Alligator mississippiensis: one gene and its partner. The protein of the gene in region 1 purifies or fractionates together with the protein of each later gene. This does not show direct contact. Links are inferred from orthologs where the notes say so. Each region holds a gene or a part of one and is shown on either strand. Other genes may lie near its edges.

What was found.
Region 2: the proteins of CAPZA2 (region 1) and SVIL purify together in Homo sapiens (affinity purification with mass spectrometry; 3 studies listed by BioGRID and IntAct, counting the BioPlex papers as one, with this or other methods). This does not show direct contact. The link is inferred for Alligator mississippiensis from reciprocal best matches to the Homo sapiens genes CAPZA2 and SVIL.

The regions. Positions count from the first base shown.
Region 1 is NC_081827.1:49,190,344-49,198,045, forward strand, and holds the start of CAPZA2 (F-actin-capping protein subunit alpha-2), read right to left. Parts: upstream 3,017-7,702; 5' UTR 2,947-3,016; coding exon 2,908-2,946; intron 1-2,907. UniProt on the Homo sapiens protein: F-actin-capping proteins bind in a Ca(2+)-independent manner to the fast growing ends of actin filaments (barbed end) thereby blocking the exchange of subunits at these ends.
Region 2 is NC_081828.1:191,846,445-191,853,618, forward strand, and holds the start of SVIL (supervillin), read left to right. Parts: upstream 1-4,159; 5' UTR 4,160-4,205; coding exon 4,206-4,266; intron 4,267-7,040; coding exon 7,041-7,107; intron 7,108-7,174.

The sequences.
Region 1 (7,702 bases):
TAGATGTACTGCTTCCTTCCCTGAATTTCAGTTCTCTCATTAGGATTATGTCTATAGTTCTGCCAACACTGCCTCTTCCATTAGACCACCAGAATCACCAGCACGACTACTACAGGCCCTGCATCAGTGTAGGAGAGTGCCACTGGTACCATCTATTTCTGGCCAATGTTAGTACATTTCTCCTTTCTATACCACCCCATGGCCCCGTCTTAAGAGGGCAAAAAGGGTGTGTTTTTGAACTGTGTTATCTCTATGATTAAAGGCACTGATGTGGTCAAGGCCATTACTATGGAAAACAGAGAAAGAAAAACTCTTGTGCTACATCTTCCCACTTCATTAGGGGGGATAATGCATAACATGAGGGAAGACGTAGTTCAGAAAGGGATACTGGCCTATGGGAAAAAATGATGGCATTAGTTCTCCAAATTATAACTCTCAGAAGTATTACTCTGCAGTGGGGAAACCACTTAGAGTAATTGTTTATTTTTAAAAGTGTAGCAGACAGTAGCTTTTCTGCAAATATGGGTATTTTTCTTCATGTGTATAACTGCTGGTAAATTAAGAATTATTGTTACAAAAATCACAGCTCTATCAATGATTTACTCAGCATGCTAAACTAGTTTGAAGCTGTGCTGGGCCATATTTTAGCTTGAAAAAAGAATGCAAATTCTGACATCATTAAGAAGTGCAACAGAGACATAAGACGTTCTAGAAGAAATTTAGTTAAAGAGCTCCACACATAAGAGAACCTGCTTCTGAATGATTTATACAATGATAATTAAGGGGAGTGCGTCAAACAGTAGAAAAGTTCTACTTGAACAAGTTACCGATTTAAAAATATACTCCCAACTTTATCAAGGGGAAAAAACCCTCATATATCCTGGTGTAAGGGGCAAATGTGGATTTAGTTAAATCCTCCCTAAACACAGTCATCCAAACATGATAATATAGCCGTAGATGAAAGCTTCACAAGTGGCACACATTTCCTCATCAAAGATAGCACACCTTGGACACTTGCTTTTGAAAGCATAAGTGCAGTTCAATCAGAAAATATTTGATTATACCTCAAACACCTTTGCACTTTGATATGCCCTGGATGGTAGATGCATCTCCACTGCAAAGGCTGAGAACATCTGAGTTACAGAACTTCAGTCACATCAGCCTGTCTTGTATAAAGGACTTACAAATGTCTTATTTCCCAATATATATGCTGCCAGTGTTGGGTAAAATCCAGCTACACAAGAAAATCCAAATTTTTTTGCAGGATTGAACTGGATAAAAGAATCAATGGCTCCGTTCTTGATGGAAGAGAAGGGGAAAAGAAAACAATTCTAATGCTCCTACTTCTTTTTAGCACAGGTGGGGGGAGAAGGGGGGAAGATAGGAAGTAGGGAGGCTCTAAGCTTTTAGCACTTCAAATGGGAAGGTGTGTGTGGAAAAAGCACCACAAAGCAACTTGAACTGTAACTGGGACAAGTACACATGCCCCATGGAAAAAAAAAAAAGTACTGGGAAATGGAAGGCTTCCTGCAGGTCATTAAGCTCCACGGTGCCCCCAGACCTACAATGGTGCCCAGTGTTCACTTGCAGCACTGAGGTGTAGATGTTGATTTTACAAGCCTGGAGAATCAAGAGTTTGTTTGGGAAAAGAAAAAAACAGAATGTTTTTGGAAAAAAGCAAGCCCAGAACTTCATCAGATTGGTGACAAGGGAAAGAGAAACTCAGAGAAACACCATTATGTGGCATGAGCTGGAAAAGGGGGCAGAAGTGATAGGTTGGAGTCAGTGCAAAGCAGCAGCAATGTGTATTAATAAGTATAGTGGCAAATACTTTTTAGCAGCGTAAATGCTGAGGCTTATTTTTTATTTAGTTTACCCTTTGACATACTAACTAAATACCTTCTACCAGGGCAAACTAACACTTTACAGGCTCTTCCCAGGTCACTGTGGGTGCTCCAACAGAGGCAAGAGTCTTAGGGTAGGGGTGATATTTTTTGTTAGACCAACTTAATAGTTGGAAAAAAAATTATTTGCAAGCTTTTGGGGCACAAACACCCTTCTTCAGGCATTGGGAGACTGCTGCTATGAGCTCTCAACCAACAACCAAGTACTGGAAGCATTTTTCGTTCAGCTCCCTGATCTGCAACTCAGTGCTGCAAACATGGAGGGACTCCCTGGCTACAGTGAACATGAAGGCATGTTAACCCCCACCCTCATGTCAAAGATATCTGAAGCTTCATTTATTCTCTCTCACATCTGAATCATCTCCACAGGTTCAGCAGCCCCCTAAACTGACCTTTCCATCCAAAACAAAAAAAGGGAGAAACCCAGAGGAGAAGAATTAGGTGAAGTGCATCCCCGCGCTGCACACACACCAGCACCACCACCACCACACCCTGGTCCCGGAGCATTAGCGGTGAGCAGAGGGAGGAAACGGCGGCACGGCCGGGCTCTGCAGCCGCCCCTCCTCCCAGGGGCATCTCCGGGGCAACTCTCGCGCCACAGCAGCCCTGTGGGCAAGGGCGGCGGCACCCAGAGCCGGGCACCGAGCTCCCTTCCTAGCGTGTTGCTTCCCTTCGCCCTGCCCACACGGCCCCGGGCCGCGCCCCTTCACCTGCCCGGGGCCGCTCCTTCACCCAGCACCGGGGGAGGGCCCCCTGGCGACTCCGGGGGCGGGGCGGGGCGGCAGAGACCCGGAAGGGCGAGGCTGAGCGCCCAAGGCCCCCTCCCCCGCGGCGGCTCCTATTTTCGGCGCTCGGACCGTACAAGGAGCGGCGCGGAGAGGTCCCCGGGCCGGGGCCGCCGCTCGCCGCCCCGCGCCCGCAGGCCCCGGTCCGGCCCCGCCAACTGCCAGGCGCCGTCGCGGGCTGGGGTTGCAGCGGGGGGGGCCGGGCGGGGCCGCCTCACCTTCTCCTCGTCCGACAGCTGCTCGTCCAGGTCCGCCATCTTCCCGTCCGGCAGCGACCGCCGGGCGCCTCCCTCTGCGCGGCAGGGCGGAGCCGCGCGCTCCCTGCGCCGCGGGGCGGGGCCGTCGCCGGCCAATGGAGGGCGCGGGAAGGCGCATGCGCACTGCGGGGCGGGAAGGCGCATGCGCACCGCGGGGCTTGGGGGGCGGGGCGGGATGGAGCCGGGCGGCCTCAGCGCCCCTCCCCCCGGCGGGGGTGGCCTGTGACCGGTTGCGCCTGCGCGGGCGCCGCGGGGTGTTGGCCTTTCGCGGCCGCGGACGGGGTGACCTGGAGCGTGCCGGAAATAGATACGTCTCCAGGCGACTGCTTGAGGGGCCAGGGATAGATCGGGCATTCTTTCAAATTGAAATAAATATTAAATGTTGAATCTAATTTATGCAGGAGTGCAGTGGGTTTTTTCAATGTAATAGTAATGCCTTGCTGAGTACAGGACAGTAGATCAGTCATTAATGTCGTTACATCCTGTGACGAAACCTCCCGGAGTAGATTCACACGGAGCTGGGGACGCTGCCAGGGGCACCTGCTTGCGCCAGGGGGTGCCTGGTTGTGTCTGAGGGAGACCGAGCAAGGACAGGCCCCCGGGCTTGAAAACTGCCATCAGAGCCTCAGAGGTCCTGTTTTAACAAGTGTGGATGGGACAGCCCAGCCTGAGATACCAGACACATTGGAGAGAGACCCGTGGAGGGCAAGGAAAATGGCGAGGGGGCTGGGACACATGACTTGTGAGGAGAGGCTGAGGGAGCTGGGCTTATTTCATCTGGAGAGAAGGTGGCTGAGGAGGGATGTAATAACAGCTTTCAACTACCTGAAGCGGGGTTATAAAGAGGATGGAGCTAGACTGTTGTCAGTGGTGGCAGGTAGCAGAACACAGAGCAACGGGCTCAAGTTGCAGGAAGGGGAGTTTAGGTTAGATATTAGGAAAAAACTCTCGGGGCGGTAGTAAAGCACTGAAACAGGTTGCCCAGAGAGGTTCCGAACTGTCCATCCTTGGAGGTTGTTCAGACCCAGCTAGACAAAGCCTTGGCTGGGAGGATCTGGTTGGGGATGGTCCTGCTTTGAGCAGGGGTTAGACTAGCACTAGATGACCTGAGGCCCTTTCCAACCCTCGCTTTGTATGATCCTGCTACCCAAGACTTGCAGCCTCTGGCTGTTTTCCTTCATCATCACAGCAACAACAGCACCTCAACACTCCCTAGGACACTGCTGTCATTTAGCAGTGCACAAATGTGCATGAGACCTCAAAGACATACACAAAACTAGAGCTCTTGGTTCCAAGAATTGGTTCAAGAATTCTTGGAACCAAGAGTTCTAGTTTTTTGTATGTCTTTTTGTCTCAGACCAACACGGCTACCAAGTACACCCCTGAAACATGAGGTTCAAGTGGTTTTTTGAGGGATTGCAAGGGCATGCAATCATTGTCAGGGACTGGGCTTGATGGCCCATGAGTCCCTTTCCACTCCTGTGTTCCTGAACATTGATGATGTGTAAGGGGTGCATGCAGGTGCATGTGCACCCCACTGAGAGGCCACCACCGATGCTGCAGGCGGTGCCTGCGAGTGGCCACCACTTGCTACCCCTGTCCCCCCCCCTCCACTGCCAGTGGCATTTGCGGACAGTTGCTGATTGCCACTGGCTCTCACCATTCCCCCTTTGCCACCGACACCACCATGGCCTCCTGTAGATGGTCCCTGCTCGGCCCACCCTCACCACCAACATCACCACGGCTGCCTGTGGACGGTCCCTGCTCACTGCTGTTGCATCCCTGCCACCGCGGCTGCCACCTGCGGGCGGTCGCCATGTCCCTCCCAGCCACAGGAGGCACAAGATGTTCATGTTCCTGAATATTTTTTGTCCTTAACATGTGACCGTGTCACTGTAAATAGTATTTTCTTCGCTGCCTCTCCTGGCACACAAGTGTCTCATTCAAATTCTACTTCAGAGTCCAGGCTGCTGCATGCTCACCTTTAGAAGCACCATTGCATGAATAACACTATTCTGAGTAAGTCCGCACACGTGAGGGAGGATACAATTTAAGCTCATCTGAAGATGGAAAATTGATCCAATATTAAATAGATATTGAAACGTAAGCACTTGTGTGTCAGGGTTGACAGAAGTTTTACTAAGAGATTAGAGTATGGATTTGTATTCAATGGTTTGCATAGGAATGGTCTCAGGCAGGGGATTGGACTAGATGTGACCTGTGGAGGTCTCTTCTAGCCCAACTTTCCTTTGATTAGTATTCTATGATTCACACTCTTTGGATCAGTCTGAATTACTGTACATTTTGGCCACATTTGCAGCAATCTATCAGACCTCACACCAGGGTTAAATTTACTCTATTAATATATAATTATCATACATCTATCAACACAAAGAGAGGCATACATAGAGAGAGAGGCTAGAAGGAGAGTGGTTGGCTTTCCTACTAAACAATCGTTAGCCTGTCTTGCACAAATGAGAAGTGCATGGCACACCAAGGATGGAATCAGAATGCCCTTTAGCAATGGGTGGACACACAACTAACAAAGCCTTTCCCAGGCTGGGATAAGCATCTCCTCTTTACTTTTTTTCCCCCAGAAATCCCAATTGAACTTTTCCCTGCACTGTTATCAGCAAGAATGAGCTCCTCATACTTTCAGACAGATTGAACTCAGGTTTTGGTAATTGCAGGAATGCCATGAAGCAAATGTTAGTAGCTCTGGGTTATACACAAATAACTGAAACATATTGGGCTTCACTTACTCCTGTTGTTGGGTCAGCAATAATCTATAGCTCCTACTCGAGTGTCAGAATATATTGCAAGCGGCATCAGTCTGGTTTGTAGGGGGCAAAAGGGCTGTAGTGTGAGGCTGAGTGCTACAGACCAGTCAGCATTTTCAGAATTAAACATTTTGATTTTGATGTTTCCATGTGCAATTCTGTGCAATTCTTACCTTCTTCATTTCAGTAGTAAAATTAGTCATTTAAACATGCTCACTGAAAATTCATGTGGGCAGACACGCAGTTAAAAATGCCCAGATTTTCAGACACCCACTCAGCAATATGTCTAAGGCATGCAAGCACATACTGCTGCTTATGGGAGAGAATGGAGTTTCTGGGGTCCTCCTTGCCTTCCCATGTCCCTGTGACAAGGTATTTACCAGAACTCACAGACTCATTGGGATGTGACATGGCTGCTCTGTGAACACTTCTGCTATAATCTAGAACGTGCAACCTCTGGGCTATCAACCATGCACCTTACTGCCACACCACCTTGAAAATGGCTTCTTCAAGTTTCAAGGAGTAGAATTTCCTTGGGAGTTTGTGGGAGGGAGTTTGGAGGCTTTCCTTCATACAGCATGCGTCTACATGTGCGCTGGATTGCACAGTTGTTTCTGCACAGTTTAGTACTTGCTTGAGCAAGTACTAAATGACTGCGTAGTAACCAATGTTACTGCGCAATCCTGACACTGCACGGGTCATTTCTGACACTACTGTGCTGTAGCAACAAGCTACTGCACAGTAGCTCATCATTACAACAACATGGTGTCTCATGTAGACCCACCCATAGAGGTACAGTTTCACCTCAGCAGCAAGGATGCTGGCAGTGAATAAGTGGTCAGGTAAGTAGCATGAGGAAGATTTTGTCTTGTGGAACATTACAGTGAGAGAGGAATATTGAGGTGCTTAGTATGGAAAAAGGGGGGATTGCATTATTCTGATGTCTTCCACCTCAGTAATGGGGCTACCAATAACTTGAGTGATAAACTAAGTAGACTAGCTGGCAGAGCTTTAAACTAACACTAAACAGGAATGAAACCATTCAAATGTGTAAATAAGCCCCAAAGTATCACACAGGAAATCTGAGCGCACATGAATAGGTAAGGAACATGTATTTTATCTATGTATTAATACTAGGAACTTAGGTTATAAGAGGAGTTGGAGATGTTCAAATGTGAAAAGAAATATGAAATGGTTTTCATATTTTTACTAAAATGTGGTGAGGTGGATCATATGATTGGAATGCTAAAGTTGATGCGTACTCCTTCTGCTACAAGGATGGGAATTGACAGGTTTTATATTAGACTCCCATGTGGTTTATAGAATCATAGACAATTCAGAATCACAGGGCATATCTACACATGTAAGTAATGCAAAGCAATAAACTATGGAGTTTATTGCCATTTGAACATTCACCCAGGACCACAGCATGTTGAACTGGGTTGGAACAGCCCTGTCTGGCAGGGGATCCAAGGGATTAGCCTGCCAGCCCAGGACTGCTGCTCCCCTGTGCTCAGCCTACTGTGGAAGGGCTGGCTGGGGCACAAAGCTGCTTCAGTGCAGAGCTAGCTGGCAGGCAGCTCCCATGCTGAAGCACCCTCATGCCCCAGCCAGCAAGTGTAGAGTCTTTCCACTGCTGTGGAGTTTTTTTCTAGTACTATCCTGCTGCAGAGTAAATTAGTTTACTCCAGCCTATATGGGAGCATGCAGTGGCGATGTGTAGGGGATGCACAGGGGTGCATGTGCACCCCCTGAGAGCGCTGGTGCACCCCCTGACCAGCCACACTCACCACTTAGATGAAGGGCAGGGGGCAGGCAGGAGTTCCAGTGCCCACCCTGCAAGTGCCAGCTGGGGAGTGACACTCCCAGAAGAGGCCGCAGTGATTGATCGGCCACCTCGTGATCGGCCCCGACTGTTGCTGTGGGGGCATGTACCTCCCCTGACTAAGGTGGCACCAGTTGCCCATGTAAGCATG
Region 2 (7,174 bases), on another chromosome or scaffold:
GCTATCATGTAGAGCTGTGCAAATAATGGATTTATTCTTTTGTTGAGGGGATGGGGATCCTGGCCAAAAGACTTCAATTACTTGTTTGGTTTTAGACTAACCCAGAACTTTTTGTTTTAACATTTTGATTATTTTCATTTTGGGTCCAAAATTTAATTCTTAGTTTTACTTTTAAAATACTTTTAATTAAAAAAAAAAAAGTGAATAAAATTTAGGAACTAAGCACTTTAAATTTAGAGACTCAATCACATCTTTTTTTACCCAAAACAATTTGCATATTTGATATTTGAAATCAGCATGAATCCAAGACTGCATTTTTTTTTTTTTTTATCAGAAATGTTTAATAATTTTGCCCTGTTCTTGCTTTTCTCCACCAGGAAACTAGTCTCTTCTTTCTACTACTGTGGCTTTTAATCCTGTCTTTCAAAAAGAGCTGATTTCGGAGCAGACCCATTCTCTTAGTTTCTTAGGATGGGATACTAATGCAGTCACAGATTACACAGAACAGCACATTGGCTAGGGGCAGACATTACACATAAACCAACTTAAGTGATCAGAAACTGATTTAAACCTGTAACAGAACAGACTTTCAGTGCACATAAACCAGTTTGAAAATGGCTGAAACTGGTTTGAGATGAACCTGGTTGAATGTAGTATCAGACTTAACTGATTTGGCTCAAACCGCTTTATGCAATGTCTGTCCCAGACTCCTTGCTGTTTTAAGTTTAAATCAGATTCCCCCAGCATCCTTGCATGCTCTTTGGCTGGGCAGGGCACTCTGCTCCACAGTGGGGCTGGCCCCTCCCCTCTGCTCCCTGTCTGGAGCTCTGGCAGAAACTTGCAGGCACAGCCGGGTCTGCTGGCTCCCCCAGGCCCTCTTCTCCCTCCACCCCCCCCCCCAACAGGAATCCCTTCCTCCTCTTTCCCGCAGCACAGACCATAGCCAGCATGTGTTATGCTAACTAATGCTGAGACGTGTCTGTGTAAGGCAGATAGGACAGTGTCTGCTTAGGGATTTTTGGAGTTAATCAACAGGTCAGCTGGTAAGGTTCCTGCATTCCTTCCTTTGGAAAAAGCTGTATAAGAAAAACCTGAACTAATGAGCGAGGCTTTGTTTTCTGGTGGGGTGCTAAACGCTGATAACAGCTGATAAATGCTCTGTTATCAAAAGCGTCCTGTCCTGGCCCCCTCAGCTCAGCTCACTGGAAGGGAAGGGAGAGATGCTTTAGCACACCCAGCCTTCTAGGCTGAGCTACTGCAGGCATGTGCCTGCATTTTTTTTTCAGTCCAGAGGGGATGACTGTATAGTTACAAACTGATTTAGCCTAGCCAGGTTAGACTAACCTGCAAAGATTGAATCAATTTAGGCTCAGGCTTTTTGAATGTCTGACCCTAGCCATTAGAGCCCATAGGTTCTAAAGTTAGTCCATAGGAAACATATTTCAATTATGTTCTCGTATCGTTTTTTGTTGTACCAGCAGGTGCCTGTAGAATAGACATATGCCCAGGGTGGGTACAGTTGACTGAGTTCTTCCTAAATAAAACTCACATGGAAGATTTGAAGACTTTCTATGCAGTAACAAATACTGGATAAAAAAGCTAAAAAGACTAGAAAGTCCTCCACATTTAGGTTCCTGTCTTGATGGGCAAGACATGCATGCTTGTCTAAAAAGGATTGTGTCCATGAAAAGCAGGGATGAATGAATAATTGCATTAAGGTCACTAGTTTTATGTGAAATGGAACCAAGTAAGGGATAAAGACTATATAGAGAACGCCTATAGAACATTACACTACCTGGTCTTCAAACTGAGTAGGATTAAACAGGAGGCTTAAGGTCAAGGGAGCAAAGGGGGTCCAAAGCATCAACTCCTTTGACCAGGAGATTTTACTTGCTGGATCAGAGGCTTAATTACATGTTCCATATGATCCACTGTTCCATCCTAGGCAACTTTGTACTGCTGAAACCATAGCTAATTTGGCATTCCAATCAGAGGTGACCAAAAAATTGGGGGCAGTAACTCACAAAAATATAGAACATGTATTATCTATTACAACAACACATCAGAATGACAAGCAATGGTTTTGGTGATGTGGGTAGGTATAACTACTGCTCCATGGCAGATTTATCCTCCTACTGCCCCCTTCTTTTGGACTAAATTTTGTACTGGACACTCCTGGGTTTACACCTTAAATGCTATCTTTCCTGATGATGGTTTCTCAGGGCCTTCAGGCATTTCCAGTCATGGCTCAGGGTCCTGTTGTGCTAGGTGTTATGTAGGTACATACATAAGAGATGATCACTGGTCCAAAGTATTTACCAGTGAAATGGGCAAATGGCAGTACGTCTGTATGTTTATAAGTAAGCATTGTTAGCAATCCTGCCTGCGATTTTGACTGTCTTTGGTATTAAAGATTTAAATCCTCTTGGCTAGGGACAGACATTCAAAAAAGCCTGAGCCTGATTCAGTCTTTTCAGATTAGTCTAACCTGGCTAGGCTAAACTGGTTTGTAACTGCGCAGACATCCGAGAAATGCAGGCACATGCCTGCAGTGGCTCAGGCTACAAGCTGGGGATGCTAGAGCAGCCCTCTTGTCCCTTCCACAGCATTGACCTGGGGGGTGGGGGTGGGGAGGGCATGGTCAGACCCTGGGAGGATGCTTTGATTAGCCCAGCAAGGAATTGATTACAATGGTTATCACCCCTTAACTCAGTGTTTATCACCCCATTAAGAAAACAACAGAGGGACATTATCAGCTGCCTGTTGATTCAGCAGGGACTGTAGCCAGCATGTGGTCCTCTAGCTAACGCATAGACAGCTCCCTGCAAGGCAGAGTGGAGGAGGGGAATTCCTTCTTAGCAGGGACTGGTGAGGAGGAGTGGGGAGCAGCCTGCAGTCTGTGCTGGAGCTCCAGCCAAGGGAGCAGAGGGTAAGGGCCAGCCCTGCTGTGGAGCAGAGAGCCCTGCCCAGCTCAGAGAGCATGCTGGGTGTCTGGTTTATATTAAACCAGCAAGGGGTCTAGGACAGATGTTGCATAAACCGGTTTGAGCCAAATAAGTTAAGTCTGATACTACATTCAACCCAGGTTTATCTCAAACCGGTTTTAGCCATTTTCAAACTGGTTTATGTGCACTGAAAATCTGTTCTGTTACAGGTTTAAACCAGTTTCTGATCACTTAAACCAGGTGAATGTGTAATGTCTGTCCCTAGCTCTTGAGTGGAGGAAGAGGGGAAAGAGACTATAATAGTTGAGCAATTATTGCTGTTGGCTGTCTTGTATTCAAGTGCGTGGACTGATTTCTGTTACAGCCATTTTAAAACCTCTTTGTCATGCCTTTGGTTAGTTTGTTCTACTCCTTAGATGATCAGATGCGTCCGATTTGTAGAGCTGTGCGATAACCATCCATTTAGAAGAAGTCCTTTTAGACGTTCAGAAGGGAGTCTAAAGGATTCCATCTGTCTCCATTGCTTGTTTGAATCCATAATCTGAAGCTCTAGCCCAAACTAGACATAGAGGTAGACTTTACTTGTCAGATAAATTGTTCTTATAATTTTACACCTTCTGTCTCGCATTAAAATACTTTGAGTCCTGGTATCTGTTCTTAAATCCCTGCCCCCTAGTTAGTAATTTTGCTCAGATGTTGTTCATAAATCTTTACTGCTTTAGGGTGTGTTCCTTTTTGGCCTAATAGTTGGGCAAATGATGCAGCATTTGTTTAGCATAATGATATGATTAACAGTGTCAGTCCTCTGGTACCCTGAATGCTGTTTTTTGCTTTGTTAGGTAGTGTTTGCAATTTATTCTGATTGATTAGAGATATGAAGGAATTAATCGTCTTTTGGAGAAAATATCTTTCTATATAGATTATTCTTGCTGCAATCTTCTCACTGGAATATAATTTGTGATTTGGCTGGAGCTTTGAAGTGGTAATATTACAAATCTCCCAATCACCATGGTCCAATCTGTTCTAGCATTCATGTGCCTAATTTCTGCTTGTAATCTGATTACTGGCTTGAGCTGCTTCAGTTTGCAGCCTATTGCTATGCATTAACTGTACTCCCCGGGACGCACTAGCCTGACAGCTCCAGTCCTGTGCAATGAAAAATCTCTACACAATATTGCTTAGACAGGCCTAGGGCTGTGGCTGGTTGAGAATTAGCTGCTATTGTAGTTTCTCTTTGCTGAATCCTTTGTTTGTGCAACCATGTTCAGAAATCCTTGGATCTCCAGCTATTTGGGAAATGTTAAATACTCTGAGGAGCAAGGTAAGAGTTCAAAGTGGATAGACAAAGAATGCCGTTTGATTTTTATTCTTTTGTTATAATATATAATAAAAAATAATATGCATGCTGTTTTAGTCTTCCTTAGAAACATTTGTTACTTTAGTATTCACTATTCAGTTAGCCATTTAGTCTGTTTTATTGCTTCCTCAAAGGACACTTTTCAAAAATCTGATTAGATGGATTTTCTAATTAGCTTATCTTGCAGCTGATGTAAGGTCTGTAAATATACTCACAAAGGAAGGTAGTGCCTAGATTTTCCTTATTAATGTTTTAACTGGTATGTATCTAAGTGTGTCTATGTGCTTACCTCATAGTTTGTACCCTGAAATGGGAATACACAGAATGGTTAAACTTATGAACAAGTTCATAATTTACTACTTCAGTATTTTGAACGGTAAATAGGAATACTGAAACTAGTTCTGCTGTGGTTATAAGTGTGTTTATGGTTTGTCTGTGAATGAAGGAACAAAATATTATTACATTGCCATGGTTCCCATTTTGTGTGTCAGGTGATATGTGTTTTTTTGATTAATCATTGAAATAAAGCCATGTTAAAATATTTTTTCTTTACACCCAATTATTCCTCCCAGGAACCATAATTTCTTTATCTACCCTTTCATGTTTGAATCTAACTTCTTAATTTTAAGGTGCACTAGATGCTGATAATGCAGTAAGTTGCCTTTTTATCATGCTTTGAGAAGCACGAGAATGAATTGAGGCAGGGGTATTAACAACTGCATGATGATCAACTTTTTGTGGGAGCAGGTGAGTATGCCTTATGAAAGGCAGCGCAGTTTGAAATGTTCCGGGAGCTCTCAGTGTGAGACAGCAGGACATGTCCCATTGTCAGTGAAGAGTCAGAATAGTACACATAGCCCTCCCCTGTGAACCACTTCCTCTCCTTCTCTAAATCTTAAATTGTGGAAGCTTTTCTCCCCCTTTTTGGCTAATGTGGGTAAGAATATTACTGTGGCCCATTTGTGGGTTCAGCTGTTTCAGTGCCAAAAACTGTAATATAGGTTATTCCTTTAGAATGGTTATAAATCTTACACATGTCTGGTTTTGATTAACCAAACTCATACTGTGTTCAGTTTTTTGTGGAGAATTATTACTTGCTATTCTCACAGTAATATAAATCTGGCTTTTTAGAAAATGTTTGACAGGGAGTATTTTTTTTAAACTATTAGGGTAATGATTTGTAAACCCTTCATAAAGCTTTGTCTTAGTATGTTGTTGTGGTCTTGTAAAATGCCTCTGCTGCGTGATTAGTGAGGTCTATTTTCCATTTAGTTGAAAAGAAACAATGTCAACAAAAAACAGGAAAAGGGCATATTTTAAACTAGAAGAAAGCTGCTTCCTTGTTAGCAAATTTGCTTAAAACACTGAGTTGTTTCACCACTTTAAAGAACAAAGTAATTGGTTAGGCATTTTTTTGCCTCCTTAATTCTTCTAAAGTTGTCTCCTATAAAACTTCTTGCCATATGGAAGGAGAGAATGAGAGCAGTACGGGCAGAAGAGACCTTTTGAAATATGGCCCTTGATAACCAGTCACATTAAACCTAATTATCTTTCTTCCAATACCTTTGCTTATATCAAAGATTCATCTAACTTGTAAAGTAACTGGTCAGGCACATCTTACACCCCAGCACAGTTCAATGACAGTAAAATTTGGCTATATCACATCTACATTAATTGTAAACTGTGCCCTTGAATTGTTTTAATGCTTGTTCATGTAGCAATCAGGTCCTACCTACACTGGGAAATGAAATCTGCTCATCCCTGTCAAGAAACAACCATGTTGTAATTTGGTCTCTTAACCACTGACATCACTTTGCAGGAAGGACCCAGACTCTTCCCTGCCCCCTCCTCCAACCAGGAGTAACTCATGGTATCCTCATTTTTTTGTTTATTTTAAATAACTGCTAATGGCTCATTTCTAGCACAATTTGCTTAGCCACATTTCCTCAATAGTCTGTTAACCATATCAGACTATTGACTACATCTACAGCATGGGTCTCTATAAAGGCTTTGTGTGTTATAAAATGGGTAGACATATCTTTTTAACACTCTTGCATGTAACAGTTTGTTCCCAGACAAACACGAACCAAGGGTGGAATGTATCCATCTCCAGAAATAAATTGAACCTGGTCACTTATTGAGAAATTGTGGTCATTTCCAAATGCTTGGGGGAGCTTGGAGTAATATTTTGGGACATAAGAATCGAATATGTTGTTGCATTAAATAAGTATTTGAGCACATCTTGGTATTTACTGTATACATGTAGATTTTATTAAAATTTGCCTTTGACCAAATCTTGTCACTTTTAGCACTTCTCATGTTTTGTCAAGATTAACTAATTCAGTGCTGTTAGGAATCAACCTGCAGGAAACTGAGTCAAAGATTTTAAATGATTTCCCAAGTTTCACAGAGAATGATATAACCAAAATCAGGATTAGAAGTAAAGAGTTCCTGGCTTCAGCTCTTCTGCGTGTAAAAAAAAAAAAAAAAAAAAAAAAAAAAAAAAATCTGTATATCTCACTTTCACAAACTACATTAAAAAACTTAATGGAACATCCAGTGCATCTACTTTTTTTTCTCAAGACTTTAATTTACCATTGTTTGGTATTTATGTGCATTTATTCAACTGTTGAAGTTAGATGTCATCTTTCCCCCAAAGTCCAGCACTGGAAACAATGATACAACTGTTTAAATCTTGCATGTTCACTGGATGTTTTCTTGTATTTTTTTGTCCTTAGATTTTGACAAAGAAAATTCAGTCAGATTTAGACCCTCAAGACTACTCCATAGAAGGAGGGCACAAAGGTAAAAGACTTTAAAATTCCTATCTGGCACTGTGGCCAATGCCTTGATTATTAAGCTTTATATATAT